Linked DNA regions of Oryzias latipes. The protein of the gene in region 3 purifies or fractionates together with the protein of the main gene of each other region. This does not show direct contact. Links are inferred from orthologs where the notes say so. Each region holds a gene or a part of one and is shown on either strand. Other genes may lie near its edges.

Evidence for each region.
Region 1: the proteins of arrdc1 (region 3) and zmym2 purify together in Homo sapiens (affinity purification with mass spectrometry; 3 studies listed by BioGRID and IntAct, counting the BioPlex papers as one, with this or other methods). This does not show direct contact. The link is inferred for Oryzias latipes from reciprocal best matches to the Homo sapiens genes ARRDC1 and ZMYM2.
Region 2: the proteins of arrdc1 (region 3) and nedd4l purify together in Homo sapiens (affinity purification with mass spectrometry; 3 studies listed by BioGRID and IntAct, counting the BioPlex papers as one, with this or other methods). This does not show direct contact. The link is inferred for Oryzias latipes from reciprocal best matches to the Homo sapiens genes ARRDC1 and NEDD4L.
Region 4: the proteins of arrdc1 (region 3) and nedd4 purify together in Homo sapiens (affinity purification with mass spectrometry; 3 studies listed by BioGRID and IntAct, counting the BioPlex papers as one, with this or other methods). This does not show direct contact. The link is inferred for Oryzias latipes from reciprocal best matches to the Homo sapiens genes ARRDC1 and NEDD4.
Region 5: the proteins of arrdc1 (region 3) and yap1 purify together in Homo sapiens (affinity purification with mass spectrometry; 3 studies listed by BioGRID and IntAct, counting the BioPlex papers as one, with this or other methods). This does not show direct contact. The link is inferred for Oryzias latipes from reciprocal best matches to the Homo sapiens genes ARRDC1 and YAP1.

Annotation. Positions count from the first base shown.
Region 1 is NC_019879.2:11,194,407-11,198,478, reverse strand, and holds the start of zmym2 (zinc finger MYM-type protein 2), read right to left. Parts: upstream 2,801-4,072; 5' UTR 2,625-2,800; intron 1-2,624. UniProt on the Homo sapiens protein: Involved in the negative regulation of transcription.
Region 2 is NC_019870.2:9,948,439-9,951,953, reverse strand, and holds part of nedd4l (E3 ubiquitin-protein ligase NEDD4-like), read right to left. Parts: intron 3,234-3,515; coding exon 3,112-3,233; intron 2,235-3,111; coding exon 2,164-2,234; intron 798-2,163; coding exon 702-797; intron 617-701; coding exon 543-616; intron 447-542; coding exon 386-446; intron 191-385; coding exon 131-190; intron 1-130. UniProt on the Homo sapiens protein: E3 ubiquitin-protein ligase that mediates the polyubiquitination of lysine and cysteine residues on target proteins and is thereby implicated in the regulation of various signaling pathways including autophagy, innate immunity or DNA repair.
Region 3 is NC_019870.2:26,762,313-26,766,373, forward strand, and holds the start of arrdc1 (arrestin domain-containing protein 1), read right to left. Parts: upstream 2,810-4,061; 5' UTR 2,274-2,809; coding exon 2,156-2,273; intron 1-2,155. UniProt on the Homo sapiens protein: Functions as an adapter recruiting ubiquitin-protein ligases to their specific substrates. Through an ubiquitination-dependent mechanism plays for instance a role in the incorporation of SLC11A2 into extracellular vesicles.
Region 4 is NC_019861.2:21,578,343-21,581,857, forward strand, and holds part of nedd4 (E3 ubiquitin-protein ligase NEDD4), read left to right. Parts: intron 1-1,570; coding exon 1,571-1,737; intron 1,738-1,815; coding exon 1,816-1,921; intron 1,922-2,139; coding exon 2,140-2,307; intron 2,308-2,460; coding exon 2,461-2,541; intron 2,542-2,673; coding exon 2,674-2,793; intron 2,794-3,495; coding exon 3,496-3,515. UniProt on the Homo sapiens protein: E3 ubiquitin-protein ligase which accepts ubiquitin from an E2 ubiquitin-conjugating enzyme in the form of a thioester and then directly transfers the ubiquitin to targeted substrates. Specifically ubiquitinates 'Lys-63' in target proteins.
Region 5 is NC_019871.2:6,517,345-6,520,859, reverse strand, and holds the end of yap1 (transcriptional coactivator YAP1), read right to left. Parts: intron 2,740-3,515; coding exon 2,504-2,739; 3' UTR 303-2,503; downstream 1-302. UniProt on the Homo sapiens protein: Transcriptional regulator with dual roles as a coactivator and corepressor. Critical downstream regulatory target in the Hippo signaling pathway, crucial for organ size control and tumor suppression by restricting proliferation and promoting apoptosis.

The DNA.
Region 1 (4,072 bases), on a different chromosome or scaffold from region 3:
TAACTAAATCCAATCAAGGGCTATAAGATCCTAAATTGATTTTTGAATAAATCATGTTTACATATGTGATGTATTTATTCAATTTTCTAAATAAATTGAATCTAATCTAATTCGAAATGCTGTTCTTGAGTAAAACAATCTTTAAGAACCACTCCCATCATGATCTTTTGCAAAAGCGTTCCCAGTGGTCTTTAAATGATTGTGCAGTTTTTAGTCAAAATCAAAAAGCGGTGTCGTCTTTTAAGACAGTTTCTGCAGAGCGGCAGTAGTTCGTTAGAAATTCACCTCTGAGTTGTGGACAGGACTGTTGGTGCTGAGCAAGCCTGCTCCCACATCCCATCATCTATCTGTTTACACTTTCTCCTGCTAGTTTACAGCCCTCACACCCCCAACCTAACATTACCAGTGCAACAAAAATGACAAGCAATATTGAAGCAAGTGGACGCATTACACTAAAGTGGAGAAGGGAACGTGTGACTCGCTGTAGCATTTTTTCATTTATTCCTGATTCACAACAATTTGAATAAAGAAATACTAAGAAAGGCAATTTTGAGCTTTCCATCGTGAGAAAAACACCACAAGAATACCAAAAACGCAATTTTCATCAGAGTAGGTCTTTAACTTTGCAGTGAAAACCTTCAACAGCAGGCTGGTTCTGCCTGACAGTGAAGCCAAATGAGGAAAGAGTCTCTGATCAAGTGACAGGAGGCACAAGAAGCAGAAAACCCCCAAAGATAAATGCATTTGTTCAAAAACCTGATGGAAGTCCATAGCATTTATTTCATATAGGCTCCTCTCTGGAAGCCAATACCTTTGCTGATGTCCAGAGATTTAGAAAATTTGATATTTTTGGACTTAACAATGATGAAATGCCGTAAGAATCCCCAGATCTGCTCTCCTGCATGAGCAGCATCTCCCATCCAGCTTTCTGACCTAATATCCCACCAGCTGAGGACTCTGCGCTCTGATGGAGGGAAATAGCCTGGTTTAGACCGAGACCAGACTGCAATGCAGAGCTGGGAGGAAGGTTGCGTTCACGTGACTGCGAGGAAAAACGAGGATCCAGCATTAATTAGCTCTGACATGCAACCCCACTCCCAATGTCAACACCAGGTGGAAAGGAAGGTGGGCCGGAGCTGTGGAGGGACTGCCCCCCTGCAATAACACACAGGGCCTGCGCCACATCACCACCTCAAAGGTGCTGCTCTGCCTTTCCAGCTGTTTCTCCTAGAAGGTCACAAGGTGGAGATGTGCAGCTGTTTGCACCAGAGGAGAATACTCCTGACGTATTCCAATGAGGTTATTATATAAGGCTTATGTCACTGATGCATAATGTCCTGCCCCCCCCCCCCCCCAACCAGCTGATGGGCTCAAGAACAGCCCCCTCTGGTTACCTGGTAGCAAAATGCCGCACTAAAAACCCTCCACGCGGCTTTCCTGAGGAGAAACTACAAAATCACCGAGGATTGGAAGCGCGCAAAGCCTTCTGGGAAGCGTGCCCTTGATTAATGATACAGTTCAGGAATCACCGAATCAGATTCAGGCGCCCGGTTCACTCGGCGCCTGTCACCCCTCCTCTTTTTTATTACCTTTATAAAACCCAACTCCACAACTTTCAAAGAAAATATTTTTGTTTAAAAAAAAACAGCTACGTGAGCTGCGCAACTCTTTCAGCCATGCGCGCGCGAGCGTGCGTTTGTGTGTGTGGTGGTGGGGGGGGTTGAGCTCCCAAGTTGGGGTTCATTGGAAACGTGGTTGAGGGTTTTCCGTTCCCACCCCTGCCTTTCCTGGCGCAAACAGCCATTGGATTAGCGGCGGACCGAGGGGAGGAGAGCAAACCCAGACTGCGCCATTGTTAAAACGCCTCTAAAAACGAACGCAACTGACTCAAATACGTGACAATGTGGCCCAAAAAAAAGCTCGAACACGTCAGAGCACGCGCTAAAAACGCAACTCCGAGCGTCTGCTGACGTTTGTTTTCACCCAAAAAAAAAAAAAAAACCTCTTCAGTCGCTTAGTTTGCCCTTCTCGCCCCGGCACGTGCCATTGGTATCAACTACAGTATTTGACACAGCTGAAAATTACTGATTTCTAGGATACCTGAGAAGCCGGGGTTTTAATTGGAAAGTTACCCTGCAGAGTCCACCCTAGCGCAATCAGTTGCACTTACACCCGGTCGCCGGAAGGGGCGCCCTTCCCTTTGCCGTTACATGAACAAGCTTCAATTGTGTCAACAACAAACCCCAGATAAACGCACGCATCATTTTTGGAGCGGTTTCCTGTTGCTGAACGCCAGGTGTAAGCCACAAGCCCCGACCACACCAAATCTGCCCCCTCCCTGCACACCTCACAGCGGAAAACGCCAGTGCCCGCCGTCCGCCATTAGGGAGCCGACTAAACAATACTGTGGAGCCTGGAGGCGGCTGCAGTCACAGCACACGGAGCGTAAAGGGAAATGTCTGTAAAAATGTAACTACCAATAAAGCCTTTCATATGAATGCTGCTTTCGGGCTGGCTCTGAAGAGAATTCCCAGGAATGCCGCCAGAACCCCCACAAGTTCCCAAAACTTTGAGCAATTTGGCGTGAAAGTGGAATATATGGACAGGCTGGGGGGATCGCTTACCGGAGAAGATCTTGAAACGGTGTAGCGCCACTTTTGTGCCCTGACATTAATCCCGGGGAGCGCATGCGCACAACGTAGAACTTTCCACTTTACGTCTAGAGATCGTCTATCACGAAGATGACCCCTTTGAGTTCTGTGTCTTCTCTGACAGTCAAAGGAAAGCAATTTCTCACAATCTTTTCAGATTTATCACCCCTAATGACCGTTTTAATGGTCAAACAAGCCAAGAAAAAAAATAACTGCGTGAAGTAACAAACAAAACAGAAACAATCTATTTTCTTTAACCAGGGCCTTTTTAATCTTAGTTTCTTCTTTACAATTTGCTCAAATAATTTATCTTTAATACAGTTCTTGGGGCAATGCTTGATATCAATTTTTAGTATAACCCCAGATTCTTTTTCTTAAAAATATTTTTCATTGTATTACACAATAAGTCTGTAACAAACCTGAAACTGTCCAAAATTCTAAATTCAGAGTATACAAAAAATCTGTCACTTTTGACTGCAAAATTCGGATCAGTTTTGTGTTTTATAACAAAGACAAAACGTCTAGAGACAATTCACAAATGCATAAATCAATAAATAAGCAAAGACAAAATCAAAATAATGTGAAATATGTCCCAAAAACATTAGGCATAGCTTCACTCAAAGTTCCAAGAATTTATTCCAAGGGGCATCACAAATTTGTGTCATAACCTTCACATTGCATTTTGAATGAAAAGGATCCTAATAGGGGCGTCAATGCCATTCCTACGTCATTTTAAACAGCCTGTGTGATTGGCAAACTCACCAGTGAGTGCAGAGACTACTGAGGTTTAAAACAGGCAACTGAAGACAACTGAAAAGTCACTACAGATGCTGTCTTGGAACCAAAGCAAATTTTAGGGGTTAAATAATATATAAGGTACCTTAGCAGAAAACATCTAAGAGATCTAACTCATGAAAAAAATCAGAATTTAACAACCAAAGATGCCAAAAACAAACAACGGGAACTAAATGAATGAAAATGTTTTAAATTGAAGTAGTTCTGCCAATGCATCAGTAACTGTCTGATAAGAATAGCAGAACTTTGACCATAAACTTTTGAATTGAGGGAAACAATTAAGAGGCGTGGTTTTGTGCTCAAACACTGGTAACACGACTGGTGATGTGGTGCAAGTTAAAACAGTTGGAAGATAATCAATCCATATTTTAAGACACAGTTGACCCAATCCTACATTGACTCATCCATCCATTCACCCGTCCATCTGTTTAATTTCTGAACCTTCTCTATCTCTTCTGGGGTCAAGGTGTTGCTGGAGCCTATCCTAGCAAGGAAGGACAAAATGGTCGTAAAAATAGAGTTTGTGATGACTGTATGAGTAGATCTCTATATTTCCTGCTAAAGATACACACTACAGTAATCCCCCCGTATTCGCGAATGGGCGGGGCGCGAATATTAAACCGCGA
Region 2 (3,515 bases), about 17 Mb from region 3:
AATCATCATCTGTAATTTAAGGGCCTAGAAGCACATCAGATTCTTTGCTATGTTTATATGTATATATATTTTTGTTGTAAATTCATTGTTCAAAAAACAGCTTTTGAAACCAGCAGCAAGGCCTCCTCACCTCCAACTCGTTTTCATCAAAGATCTTGATCAGATCAATCTGGATGAGCTCAGTGAAGCCCTGGAAAATAAACAAAAGCAGTTTTGTCAACATCATGTTTTATCCAAGAACCAAAGCAGCAAAATTACAGAAAAAAACATTATGTAACCGATCAACATAATCAAGCCAATTTGAATTACGGTAGACAAAATGCATTTAGGAACTTGTTTTCCACACTGCCCCCATGTGGTAGTAGTTATAAGTGCAGACAGGTACCTCCAAGAATGCATTCATCTGCTTCTGGACCCGGTTGACGAATCTCCACTGAATTACCAGGCTGAAAGGAAAAGAACAAGTGAAGTTTTTTTTTTTTTTTTTAATACAACAGTGATTTGACAGATTTCCTTTTTCATAGAGAAATGGTTAAACATACTCTATGTACTCCTTTTTGTTGTCATTGGTAACCACCAGTTCTGAGCCACTGGGCTTCAAGTCCACCTGGTAGGTCTGAGGGGAAGCAAAACGGTTTAGACACAATTCATATAAGTTTAAACGTCTAGAGGTCAAAAATAGTGATTTCAGATCTTCACACCTGTCCAAAGTTGTCCTCATCTATACAAAACCTCAGGTCAAGTTCAGTGGGATCGTTCTCCAGAATCCACTTCAGAGAGTTGTAGTATTCACTGTCCTGCAGGCGATGGACACAAACAGCTTCCTTTACTCTGCCATTCTTTACATTTTAAAGTGTCACAAACCGTTCAAACCAAAGGATCCAACATCACTGGTGACGTGACTGCAGCCCACAACACAACAAGCCAACCAACATTTTTTATCATTTCTTTCCCTTAAAGTGTATAGTGCAGGGGTCGGCAACCGGCAGCCCCAGAGCCGCATGCGGTTATTTCCTCCCTGTGATGCGGCTCTCTGTGTTTGTGTAAAATAACTATCATGTTCTCAGATTGTCGTGGTGTCTTTAACACCGTCGGGTAGAGCGAGCATGAAGAAAGGAGGATGAAGAGAGCAGCGTGAACGCGCAGAGGGGGCGTGTCTGCAGCTGTGAACGCCAACCAGGGTCTGTTGTGGGATGGAAAGTTTTTCTAGAAAGAAAGTCAGTGGCGATCTCGTAGGGGACAAATGAGCCCCCCCCCCAAAAAAAACCCTTTTTCACCCTAGACTAAAACCACCCATTTCCGCGTAAAAAAATCAATTAAATTTGCGTTAGGGCGCCCCTACTATCCTGTCACCTTGCTGTATGTTGCGCTGTCTGTGTAGAACACGCTGGAGGGGGGGTTGCACGCGGGGGAAAACAACGAACAGGTAGAGAGGCGGGGGCGGGGCTTAGACTCACAGCTGCTTCCTAATAAAAATAGTTGTCATCCATAAAATTAATATAATTTATTGAGTTTACTGGATTTAAATCAAAATCAAAATAGACAGGAGTCTAAATCAAATTGAATTTTTTTCCATCATCTTAACTGTGGGTGTTTGACAGACAGAAAAGTCTATTCAAGATTGTGGAAAATGGACAAAAGATCAAAAGAAACAACACGCTCATAAAGAATAAAAATAATTAAAATAAATAATTAAATAACTATCCTGACAGCATTTTGAATCAATACAAGTATTGCCAATTGAACTATCGTGATATATCGGCAAAAACATTATTCTAACACATCTAGTGTTGCGGCTCCCTGTGCTTTCATCTCAGTGGGAAACTGATCCGAATGGCTCTTTGAGAGGTTCAGGTTGCAGACCCCTGGTCTAGTGCTACAAGGAGAATTTTCCTAAAAAATAACAATTAGATAAAGATTATCTCAATCTTTATGATATTTACTTATATTTCATTATATTTTAGAAAAAAAAATTGTTTTAGAGGATTCTCTTTTGAAATAAGAGACTAAAAAAAAAGAAAAGAAAAACTAAAATTGGAGGAAGCACCTAAGAAGAGGAAGTATGTGGGACTCATTGAAAGCAAAACAAGTGTGCAGAGAGGGTCCAAAGACATTTTGCAGAGAGATAAACAACAACAGTCTCACTGCAGAGGGAGCTCTTACCACAGACTCCATGTCTTTAAGCGAGATCGATTTTCCCAGCATCATCTTGTAAAACGGCCTTATGAAAAAACCTGCAACAATATACAGGAGGAGTGTCATATGGAACTCTGGGTAAAAGAGTATCATTAAATATGCTATAAATTAGGAGGTAAAAAAACTCAATGGTGAATAATAAGCTTTAATGATAAAAGTTTAAACATTAAGACAGGAAATGATTAATAATATATATGTATATACACACACTAGGGCTGCACGATATGAAGAAAACACGCGATATGCGATATTGGTGATTAATATTGCGATAACGATATAATTTGTGCTATATAAACTAATATCAAACCAACCAAAAACATCATTTCCATTTCAATGCAACAGTATAAAAATTATACTCCAAATGACCCTTGTCGACAAAGGAGGCAAACATCAAACATAAAAGGACTCATTTGATTGATCAACAATGTAAACGGGTCCTTCCGATTGGTTAAATGCATAAAGGGATTTATTTCATTTATTCAATATTTCAAGCTGCCATGAGTTTGTTTTAGCACATTTAACCCTTGTGCTATCTTAGATGACCCCCCCCCCCTTACTTTGACCTGTTCTCCCTACCATGACAAAGGTGGATAAAGGTGGAAAGATTTCATGTAATCCATGGACACCAGTGAAGATCACAAATCATTGAAGAAAAAAGGTTCAGTGCACTGTCTAGTGGGTCTAGATGACCCCACTCCCAATGTTAAATGGCCTAGGATAGCACAAGGGTCAAGGTAACCATTCATTGCGATTTTCGCTGTCTTTTGCGGTATGCATATTGCACAGCTTGATGTCGCGATAACGATAAATTTGCGGTATATTGTGCAGGCCTAACACACACACACACTTCTTTTTTCCGGATATTTTAGTGTAAAAGGCTGTGTCAAAGATAGCCTATTGAACGAAGCCACCTACCATCTAGAAGCTTTCCGTGAAACACAGCCATGCCTGCCACACGCCCAATGAACTTGAAATAAGAGAGGTGATCTTCATTGCACAGACCAGAGTTGGGATTAATTTGGAGAGTGTAGTTATCTCTAAATTCAGAAGAAGAGAGAAACAGAATAAAAACTATTCTCGACAGCCACCAGGTGGCACACTTTGGAACAACGTAGGCAAGTCCTTCATTGAGTTTCAACAAAGTAACAAAGCCAGGATTTTAAGAAATGTTCATTTTAAACCCAGGAATTAGGCTCTAACTTACATTTTTACATATCTATAAGTAATTAAACATTATATCGGGTTGAGACTAATATAGAAGTAAATTGTTTTCATTATAAGGTGCGTGGGAAAAGTTTGTTACAGGATGACTTTTTGAA
Region 3 (4,061 bases):
TCCGTCTGCTCCACTGCAGGGTCATGGTTGCAGTTTGTTTTAAACAGATGTTGCAGCGATTTGATGCTTATCTGCTCTCTGTTCTCCCACTGCTGCAGTTACTGACTTGGCGGTTTTGTCTTACACAGATCATCTGGTGTTTGTCTATTTTCTGTCTTCTCAAATCCCAGCAGATTGATATTTCTATTTGTTGGCATAAATAAAAAATCACAAAAGTATTAAAAAAAACTTCCTGTTTAGTTACCAGGTTTATTTTCAGAAAGCATAAAAATCATTGGAATACACTATGATGGGAGTAAAACCTTGGATTTAGATAGTTAATAAGGACTTTATTTAAAATATTATTTGAAATAAATGTTTGGGTTTTGTTTTTCCAAATGAAATGTAGCCACGACGGGGCCCAAGCCAGGGTCCCATTGTGCTGGTCCCAAGCCCGGATAAAGACAGAGGGTTGTGTCAGGAACAGAATCTGATGTAAAGTCTTTGCCAAACCAAATATGCGAATCAGACCTATGATATCCATAACATTAAACAGCTGGTTGATGAGTATTCTGCATTATTGAAAAAAAATAACAATAAATCCTTTTCTGAGAAAAGACTCCTAGTTTCTGTCTTAAATGCAGATTTATTTTTATTTTGAAGTTGAAGGCTCTTCCTCTGTTTCCCCACTGGAACTTTCCAAATACGTTTTTTGGTTATTTTGCTAGCTTGGAGTTTCAATTTAGCGGCAGCCGCTTTAGGGTTTTGTACACGTGACCGAGTCAAAATCCAGAACATCCAACTCAAGAACGAGTTGGATGTGGTGGAGAGAACCCAGTAGTGTTCCAAAATAAAACTTCCTTCAGAATCAGATTATAAATAAAATGAGGGGGGGGGGGGGGTAGGTTGTGCTTTTACCAACTGTCCCTCGGACCGGTACTGGTCCACAGCCCAGGGACCACTGGATTAGCCGACAACAGTGATCTTTGGTATCCATGTGCGGCTTGAGTAAGATTCTCTTCAATCTTTTGTTCAAATCAAGCAGCTTTAGCTGCTATAACTGAAGTAAATCATTCTTTTGGGGGTCTTTTCCATGTTGCCACAGCACATCAAATGCATCAGTTTTAGATCAACTCCTCCTGCAGTGAACGGAGTGGTGGGCCTCAGATCAGGTCGTAACAGACGATCCCTCTGCAGTTCGGGACTTTCCGCCATGAAGAAAAGCTCCATCATTGGATTTCCGTCCCTGCAGTCCCCGTTGGTGGCAGGGGCTTTGTACCTGCCTGCCACTGAGGGGCGCCTCAGTCTGACCAGGGTCACCTCACACAATGGACCCTCTGTTTCCTCCAACCTGCTATCCTCCTTATGACTACAGGTTTGGGAGAAAGATCTTAAAAAGGAATCCGATGTCTTAGAAAGCTCACTCTGTCTGTTCTATATTTCCGGGTTTTGATTTCAAATAATTATTGTGTCAGAATCAGGCAAATGCATCAAACTGAGTAAAAAGCAGTTAGGTAACCTCCTAGGATGGGGGGTTAAAAGACACCTGCAGACTGAGCTTCAGGTTCAGCTTGAGTCACATCGTCTCTGTCCTCAAACAATTTTTGGGGAAATCTCTGCCTCCCATCTGTCAGGCATGGTGGTGGAGTGCTGGTCATATGGGCTTGTCTCTGAATGCCAAAAAGTTACAATGTGGAGCTGGTATTTTAAAGAGCATCACGCAGCCCAACACAGAAGAGCACAAAGAGGAGAGCCGATCATAAACCAACAAAAAACTATCAGACAGACAGACAGACCCTCCGCCTGTAGGAAGTGCGCACGGACTCGTTCTTTTACACTACATGAACCGAGTTTCCCCTTGAACCCAGAATTCAGAAGTTCCGGTGTCCTTACCCCCCCCCCCCCCCACACACACACACACACACACACATACACACACCACCACCACCTGATCGCTTGTTGTTATTTTTGGGAGATTCATCCGCGCTAAAGAACAGCCCGTCCCAGCAGGCTCGCTCGTTTAGCAGAAACTTTACAACAGCAGCTTTTCAGCCGCGCGCTCCCATCCCTGCACCGTCGCGAGGCAAAAGTTTCACCTCACCGACTGAGTGATGCACAGGCGCCGCTAGCGGAAGCGCGCGCAGCCCAGCACCCCCCCCCCCCCCCTCCCCCGTACCTTTGTAATGCAGCGCGCTGCTGGTCCGGATCCTCACGACCCCGCTGACGGACTCCCCCGGACCGTAGACCACCTTGTTGTTGGTGTAGAAGATGTCAAACTCCTGCAGCTTCCCCATGGCTCTGCTCTCCGCTCTGCCGCGCGCTCACCTGCTGCCGCGAGCTGCTCTCCGCCCTCCACGGGGACTGTGACGTCACCGTGACCTCCTCCGAATCCCAGCCGCGAGCTCAGGGACAAACGTTAACGGACAAATGAGTCGATTCTGCCTCAGAAACAGACCCACAAACTTCACCGGAATCCCCTCACGGTCATACCTGCCACAGGTGCTTTTTGATACTGTGACGTCATCCGACTCTAATCTCCGTTCTCGAGTGGGACTTGGTTGGTTCTATGGGTCTTGGATTGTGACGTCAGCCGGGAAGGTGGGTTCTGCACCTTTCAGCTTTTTAGGTGTTGGACGTAGAAGCGCTGAATGCAGACAGGTGTGTCCTCACTACAGGCGCCTTACTCCACAGCAGGCCTTCCTGTTTGATCAAAGTTTAACCTGAAAATAAATAACTAAATGAAACTGAGAAGGAGCTAAAAGCAACTCAGTTCCTGTCAGGACATGCAAATGATGGAGTTTCTTAATGTAGAAAAAAGACAAAACATAAAATAAACATATATCTGCATTAGTAGGTGCTCCTGCTTTTATCTAAAACATATTACAAATGTTAATTTACAAATGTTAATTTACAAATGTTAATTTACAAATGTTAATTTTAAACCAAAAAAGTTCAGTTTTGGTGTTAGGCCGGCTACTTTATTCATAAAATGTTTGTAATATGATCCTTTAAAAAGAGAAAATAAGTTACTTTAGTTAAAACCTCAAGAATCATGTTGGCAAATAACTTTTATATTTATATATTTAGTAATAAAATGTTAATAAAATAAAACAAAATACCAAGGCAAGACTATAGGAAATAACCAAAAACATTTCATAATCTCTGGAGTATTTTGAGAAAAACAAATGTTCCTCATTTGTTGTTTTTTAATAGCACTCTTACCCTTCCCCTCCTTGAATAAAGAAATACTCAGAAATGTAGTTTTTATTTTATTTTTCTTTAAATGGTTGGAGCGGCTGTGGAGCAGAGGTACAGCGGTCGACCTCTGATCGGAACACTGCAGGTTCGGTTCCCACCCATGTGCCGAAGAGTCTTTGAGCAAGACACTGAACCTCACATTGCTGCTGGTGGTCATAGGTTGATGCCAGTGTTCAGCAGCAGTGTGTGGGTGTGTGTGTGTGTGTGTGTGTGTGTGTGTGTGTGTGTGTGTGTGTGTGTGTGTGTGTGTGGGCGAGTGTGACTGTTAAGTGCTTCTGGCTTTCTGAGAGGGTAGGAAAGTGGTATATGAGGGCACTCCACTTACCATAAATGTCCTCATCATCAGAAAAATGCCACAATAACATGTTAAAAACACCGTTTTCCTCAGAGTGAGCCTTTAAATTGGATTCATGTTGGACTCATCCTCACAAACACGGACAGCGTTGGCCTCAGACTGATCAAAGGTAAAGGTTTCAATCAATGGGATTTTTATTGTAAATGTTTAATACAATTCTTTCTTTTTTTGCCACAGAAAAACAACAGTTTTCTCATCTTTCTAAAGTTTGCAGGAACTCAAATGTTCTTTCCGTTTCTGAGGGCTAAGTTGTCTTAGCGGTGCTTCCTGGCTGAAACTGTACTTGTCGTCTCACATCAGCAGCTGGAGCTGCAGGTGCACAGAGATGCTTGTTTCCTCCTCTCGATATCCAAAACGTCCAAATCTAAACGTGATGCCAAATACGCAGGAACAGACTTTTCTCCTTTTAATTTTTACTTTCCACCATCCTATCAGATTTATCTTTTTTAGCTGTTTTTTTCCTCTAAAC
Region 4 (3,515 bases), on a different chromosome or scaffold from region 3:
TTGCTTGTATATGTTGGCTAAGAATAAACTGGATTCCAAGCATTTTGCTCAAACCAAAAAAATCTTCCTTCTGTGTATAGTCAGAGCAGTTCCCCGTATTACCAAGAACAGGCGGATGTATCTGAGAAGACCTTAAGTGGTCTGGATTCAGAGAAATGATATGAGAAACCTCAAATGACTTCCAAGCCAAAATATTGTTTGTGACTTGTAAAAGTAAAAGCAAAGGTATCTTGCATGATTTGTAATTCAAATTAAAGTTACTTTTATCTATAAATAGTACAAAAATAAGAAAATAAAAAAGGAATGAAAATGTATTTATTTATTTTTTTTAACTTAAAAATCCAAATATAAAAATGAAAAGAAAAGCAATTATATAAAGAAAATTATTTTATTAATTCAATTTTTGAAATTCACCAGACTTCAGTTCAGTAGTTTACATATTGCAACACAAGTGTACAGTTCAAACTTTGTAATCTAACTCAGTAAATACCTCCAATCATTTTATAGGATACCCACTTAAATCCTTCCAAATGTTGACTTACAGCTTCCTAATTGTTCAAATTAGTTTGTTTTTAATGTAACTTTATCCAGTTTTTGGCTACTACTTTTATACTATACTTTGCCATGTTTTTTGTAATATTTTACAATCACTGATGTCAAAAATCTTTTTATTGTCAATAAAAATCTCTCTTATATTTATTTTCTAAAACAGTCCAAATAGTTTAAATGTATATAAATAAGTGATATTAGGTATAACCTGTCTGATCTTAATCCAATTTAAAACAAGTTACTTATTATTTATTTGTAGACAGAATAAAGCAGCTTTCTTTCTGATAATTATCTGACACTGTGAAAAGGACACAAGCGGAAACTGAGGTTTTTAGAGGAGTTTGTCACTTTGTCCTCACTTAATGACCCACTACAAGGGTCATTAAGTGTGGTTCTGTGTTTGGAAAACATGTTCTTTTACTATTTTACTCATGATGGAGGATATGTATACAGAAAATGAAGATTAAAACTGTATTTCTGAGTATTTCTTTAGTCAAATTGTTGTGAATTAGGGGCAGTCGAGAAATGCAGTTTAATAAAAGCCTGTCGTTGTTGCGTACAAACTCCAGTCGGCAGACCACAAGCTCCCTGCTCTGCTCCATTCTGATTCATCCACATGCATCTTTGTTTTCATCGTCTGGGCTGGCATCTGGCTCAGAACTGTGCGGTTGGATAGCTCTGATATTGCTTGCCATTTTTGTTGCACCGCTAATATTAGCTTGGGGTTTTGAGGGGCTGTAAGCTAGCAGGGAAGAGTGTAAGCCAAAGGAATGATGGGAAATAAGCATTGACTTGCTCCCCTCCAACAGTCCTACCCACAGCTCAGAACTACTGCCGCTCTGCAGAAACTATGTCCTAGAAAATGACACAATTTTTAAAATTTTGGCTAAAAACAGCATAATCATAATTAAAAGACCACTAGGGACGGTTTTGAAATAGATCAAAGGATGATCAGAGTGGGACTTTATCTTATTTTAATTGAAATATCTGTATTTTAAAACTTGATGTTTGTGTTGTGAAGCAACCTGACTGGGAGTTTCTGGAGGGCCAAGACATGTCGGGTCCACGACAAAGTCAGCTACAGCTTCCTTTGCCCCCAGGCTGGGAGGAGCGACAGGACAATTTGGGAAGAATTTACTATGTCAACCATGAAACCAGAACCACACAGTGGCAGCGACCCACAATACAGTAAGCCGGTGACCGTGTCTCATTGTTTTCTGTTAGGTCCATTCTTTGTGAGTGGTAATGTTTATATCTCTTGAACAGAGAAAGCCAACGCAGACTGAGCCTCTATGCAGATGGGGCACATACCTACATAACACGTAGGCAGATCTCTGAGCCTGATGAAAGTGCCCCCCAAGAGCCCTCTGAGGTAAAACGGCTTTGCCCTTTTCACTTCATCCTGTTCTTCTTTCCATTTTGTTTCGGAGAATGAGTTGATTTTTTTAAAGCTGGAAGTCAATGTTTGTAGTTAAACAAATAAATGAGCTTATTAAACCTCACTGTTTGTAAAAGCAAAAAACTGTCTTTCAAATTGGCTGAGAAATTATTAGGTCTTGAGCTTGAAGTGTCCTCTCACTCATTTGGCAGAGCTGGGAGATCCTTGGAGCAGATGAAATCCAAGCAGGAAGACGCAACAGTTACCGGCTCAGATCCCCATCACCCCAGGAACCGGCAGAATTCCACTCCTTCTGCGATGAGCTCGGAAACATTCATCTTTCACGATCCCCTACTCAAAATCACTGCATGTCTCAGATGGTCAGTTGTTTTCTATGCAGGATGTGGTTCCTGTTAGGGATTGCTAAAAAATTTGAATCAAAAGCAAAACAATTTCAGTAGTAAATGTCCTGTAAGCTATAAAAAACTTACCACCAAAATGATCTTTGACGTGCTCTGCTTCCTTTGCTACAGAATCACTTAAGTACCTCAAGACATTCCAGCATCAGTGATTTTCAATCTTCAACTGACGAGGAACAGCCAGTTAATCCTGTGGTGCTTATTTCTCTTTTAATCTGACCTGTTTTATATCATTTTTCTAAATTATCACTTCAGCTTGGTTTTTTTCTTGAACTAAACTACTACAATGGTTGAGTTTAAGTTAGTGTTTTTTCTTTCCTTTAAAAGTTGCTTCCAACCTCAACCGGGTTGCCTCCAGGTTGGGAAGAGAAGAGGGACAGTAAAGGCAGACGCTACTATGTCAACCACAACACCCGAACAACTTCATGGTCCAGACCTGTTGTTCAGGTACACGGTTATTCTTCTTACTTACCCATTTATATTTTATCTCTTGTTCTGTTTTTCACTCATTTTTAAATTAACTTTTCAAGATCATGTGTGTAACATTTTGTAGGTTTAACCCTCTGGATTTTTTTGATCATCGAGTCAATGTGAAACTTAGAAATAAAAAATTAATGATTTTTTCTTTTTTTATATCTGAAGTTTTTGAAATGGAAACCCTAACTACAATATTTCTACAAGCTCTAAAAAGCCAGTTTCTGAAACATGTGTGTTCCTGCTTTGTTGCTTAATTGTAGTAGCCTTTTTTCCAAAACACATTCTCAAAGATCTCACTTGCATAGAATTGTGAAAGTGTATTTGCAAGTTGTGGTTACTTCATCCAGTGCATTTCTCTAATGTAAAGCACTTTGAGATGTTGTGCGACAGGAAAGATGCTCTCTAAATAAAGTTGCATTTCAAATTTGTAAACAGTAGATATTTTTCTGTTAGCCATTGAAAACACAAATAACTCTGGAAAAAGTGTATTCATTTACTTAAAGAAAGACCACAGCAACACTATTAAGTAAAGTTGACTGTGACTTTATTATTTATTTTAGCAGTATGTAAGTAAATGTCTCAGTTTTTGTGGTTATCGACCAAAATCTAAAATCTTGTTGCCTGTCTATACTATGCTTCAAACTCAATATATTTTCTCTCTTTAATGCACAGAGACCCTCAGACGCAGCAGG
Region 5 (3,515 bases), on a different chromosome or scaffold from region 3:
ATAGAATTATCTTTTACTCACAAAAATACAAATAATTTCATGACCATCATTAACCAAATTGGTATGTAAATAAACTTTTCTCTATACTATTATACATTTATACCACTGCAATACTTTACATTTATTTTTTTAGTTCTTAACAAAAATGCGCACCTATTTATTTGTTTCCAAAAAACAAGTAAAATTACAGAACACTTTTGTAACTGAAAATATATATATATATATATATATATATATATATATTCATTTTACACAATCAGAAAAAATAGTTCCAATGTGAAAACCATTCACACAAGTAAGGATTACCACAAAGTATATACTTTATTTGAGGCCAATTTCAAAGTATCATATGAAGAAAGGTATATAATGTAACAGGATTTATTGTTCTAAAACACATGCACATATCTATCAAAACAAAATGAACAGTCTTTGTTGAATACAAACTCATTTCATGTGCATTTAGAGAACTCTAAATACAAAATCCTTTAACTTTTTGATTAGTTCTACTGCTACGGTGAGTCAACAGCTAGTAATGCTCTGACAAGTACACACTAAGTTAAGCATTAAAAATCAGCTTTTCAGTGACATCTCTGCATTTGAATGAAAAACCTAAAGCCGCCTCGTGGTGTCCCGCCCCTTTTGCTGCACTGTTATCACCAACACTGTCCATCAATCCATCAATATGTGATTTAGAATCAATTAAAAAGGGTTCTCAGGAAACAATGAAAGACAACAGTCCTTAAAAATAAACAAAAACATATATGTATGTCTATGTACATATACGTAGAGTGTTCCGGCGGCTTAAACCAAAGGACGTGCACGGCAGACTGCTTCTTCTGCAGGGATGCAACGGTGTAAACATCAAAAAACAACTGTGAGAGTGTGTCGTCTCCACTGCTGCTGCAGCAGTTTCCCCAAAAGTATGTAAACATGCGAGTGCTGATGGGAGAAACGCTTTCTCCTCTGTTCTGAGGCCTCATCTTACAAAAAAAAAACGTTTAGGGTTATTAGTCACTCAAAACAACCACCTACAAACAGAAAGAGAGGAAAAACTTCTTTAGACATCTCCAATAACACCTTAAAACACACAAATCATCTGGTTAGCTTATACAGTTTTGTTCGTACAGAAGCCGATTTATGGGAACCAAAACTAAATGTTAGTGTCGTTACGAGAAAACGTCTTTGGAATCTGCTGCGACTGCTCCTGACCGTGCTGTTCGATTGTTCCGGGGTTACAAACTCACGGAAGAAACAAAAAACAAACAAAAATCGAATCAAATCTCGTCTACCACATCTCTACACCGCTCCTGACGTGACTTTCTTTACAACCCGCTTGACCAAACCTCTTCTTTTGAACCCTCAATGCGCAGAGGCCACAGCGCCCTCTAGAGGAAGACAGCTTCAGAACTTGCAATTTAAAAAAAACAAAACATTGCAAGCTGGAAGCAATCGGAGGAAGAGTTTCTGAAATTTAAATTTAACAAAAAAAAAGCCTTTTTGGTTAATGTTTTGCAAAAAAGCCGCTTTGTGATCAACAATAGTACAACACAAATAATACATATATGTATATATGTATATAAAGTAAAACAAAAAAAGAATAAATCTCAACAACAGACTGTGTTAAAAATGGTACAGTTCATCCACGACAGTAAAACTCAAGCAGTTTGAACTAAGCTACACATGTAATAAGCTAAAAAAGTACTAAAAAAAACGACTAAAACTGGGAGTTAGGCCTGAATAAGACCGACATACGAAGGGTTAAAAAGGGATTCCCCAATTCTGTTGAAAACTAGATTGTGATTGCTGAACACTAGAAGGCGGATATATATATATGATAAAAAAGAAAAAGAAAAAAACGCCAGATGCTTTCATATTGCAGAGTAATTCTTCGAGTTGCTCGCATCTTTAAAAAAAGTACAAAGAAAAGAAAAAAAAAATACAACTGAAGGCACTTGATCTATCAAAAAGGTTTAACTTAGACTTGCTGGCACAGCCAAGCAGCAGTGTAGTCGGTCCCTACGTTTGAACGCCCCCCTCCCCCTGCCAAAATGTCCAACCGGGGCCTCTTGTGACCTTTACTCCAAATCAGTATTGTTTCTTGTTCTCCAAATACATCATTTTTGGTTTCTCAGGTTGGTTAGAAAGCAGGCGGCGCTACACTGCGGCAGAGATGGCGCCCGGTCGTCGCCAACGCGAGTTCGTTAAGATGCTGAAGGTAGAAGCGGGCTCCAGATCCACGAGGAGGCCGCTTTGCATAATTGTCTGTTCATAGGCCAGCCTTGAAGACACAGACACAATTAAAAACACCAGAGAGGAGGAATACTGCCTGAAAGGGGAGGGGGGGGGCAGGGGGCGGAGTCTCACACAAGTCCCAAAAAAAGGTTGGCTGAAATGTCTGGTAAAAAGCATCCATGAACCCTTCTAAGGATGAGAGCAGGCAGTTCAGAGCACAGGGAGGAAGAGGAGGAGGAGGAGGAAGAGGAGGTGGAGGATGGCGCCTCCTCTATAACCATGTGAGGAAGCTCTCCTTGTCGATCTTGGTAGCTGCCAGCACGGACTCCATGTCGTTGAGGATGTCGGAGCTCAGGGCCTCCTGCAGGCTGGGCATCAGCTCCTCGCCCTCCACCGCCATGCTCTCCCCCTCCAGGGTGCCCAGGTCCACGTCCGTGCCGGGGATGGTGTCCAGGTAGTCGGGGAAACGGCTGGGCTGCGTCGCCATGGAGGGCGCGAGCGGGTCTCCTGATGATGGACGAGGGGGGAGAGACTGACTGAGAAACTATTGGATCCTTGAAAAGATTTCATTTTCTTTATATTTTGTTTTAAAATGTCTTAGGTGATCTCTCGATCGCTACTTTTATTGATCGATTACCGATTTATTGAGCTCGGATTTTATCAACCCAGCCACATCCTACAATCATGTTTTGTCCCCGAGCTTTAATTCATAATTAAATACAGTGTTTTCCATACTATAATCCATGTACGGATTAACTGATGTTGAAGTGACGCTCTGTCAGAATGTTGGTCTGTTTTCTGAGTTGAACTCAAGGTTGGGTGTTATTGTGAACACGTTAACATGGCTAACGTGTAGCGGTGTCAGACTGTGTTCTTTTTTTACAGTATTACCAGCCAGGTAGGGCCTCAGTGTGGTCACAATAATGCTTGTTTTAGCGTTATTCCTTTGTTTTTCTATGTGAAGCTAAGGAGGTTACATGTGTGGGGAATAAGCTAACGGGGCTAACATGTAGCGTGTCGGCGCGTGTTATTTTTTTTTTGGTTGTGTTCCTTCCCTACTCACTATTTAGCGCGTTCACCATTTTGTAGTGCTGTCCAAATCTACAATTCCAAAATCCAGTGCCATAGAAATTTCCCAGAAGTCTCTGCGAAAAACCAGTGTGCATCGATGCTCACTAGACCGGCGAATATAGACCACAATGCATTGCGTCTGGACCATTTTTGCCCCAAAAGAAATGTATTTCAATGCGTTTTTGAAATAAACCATCAACGTTTCTGTCTTG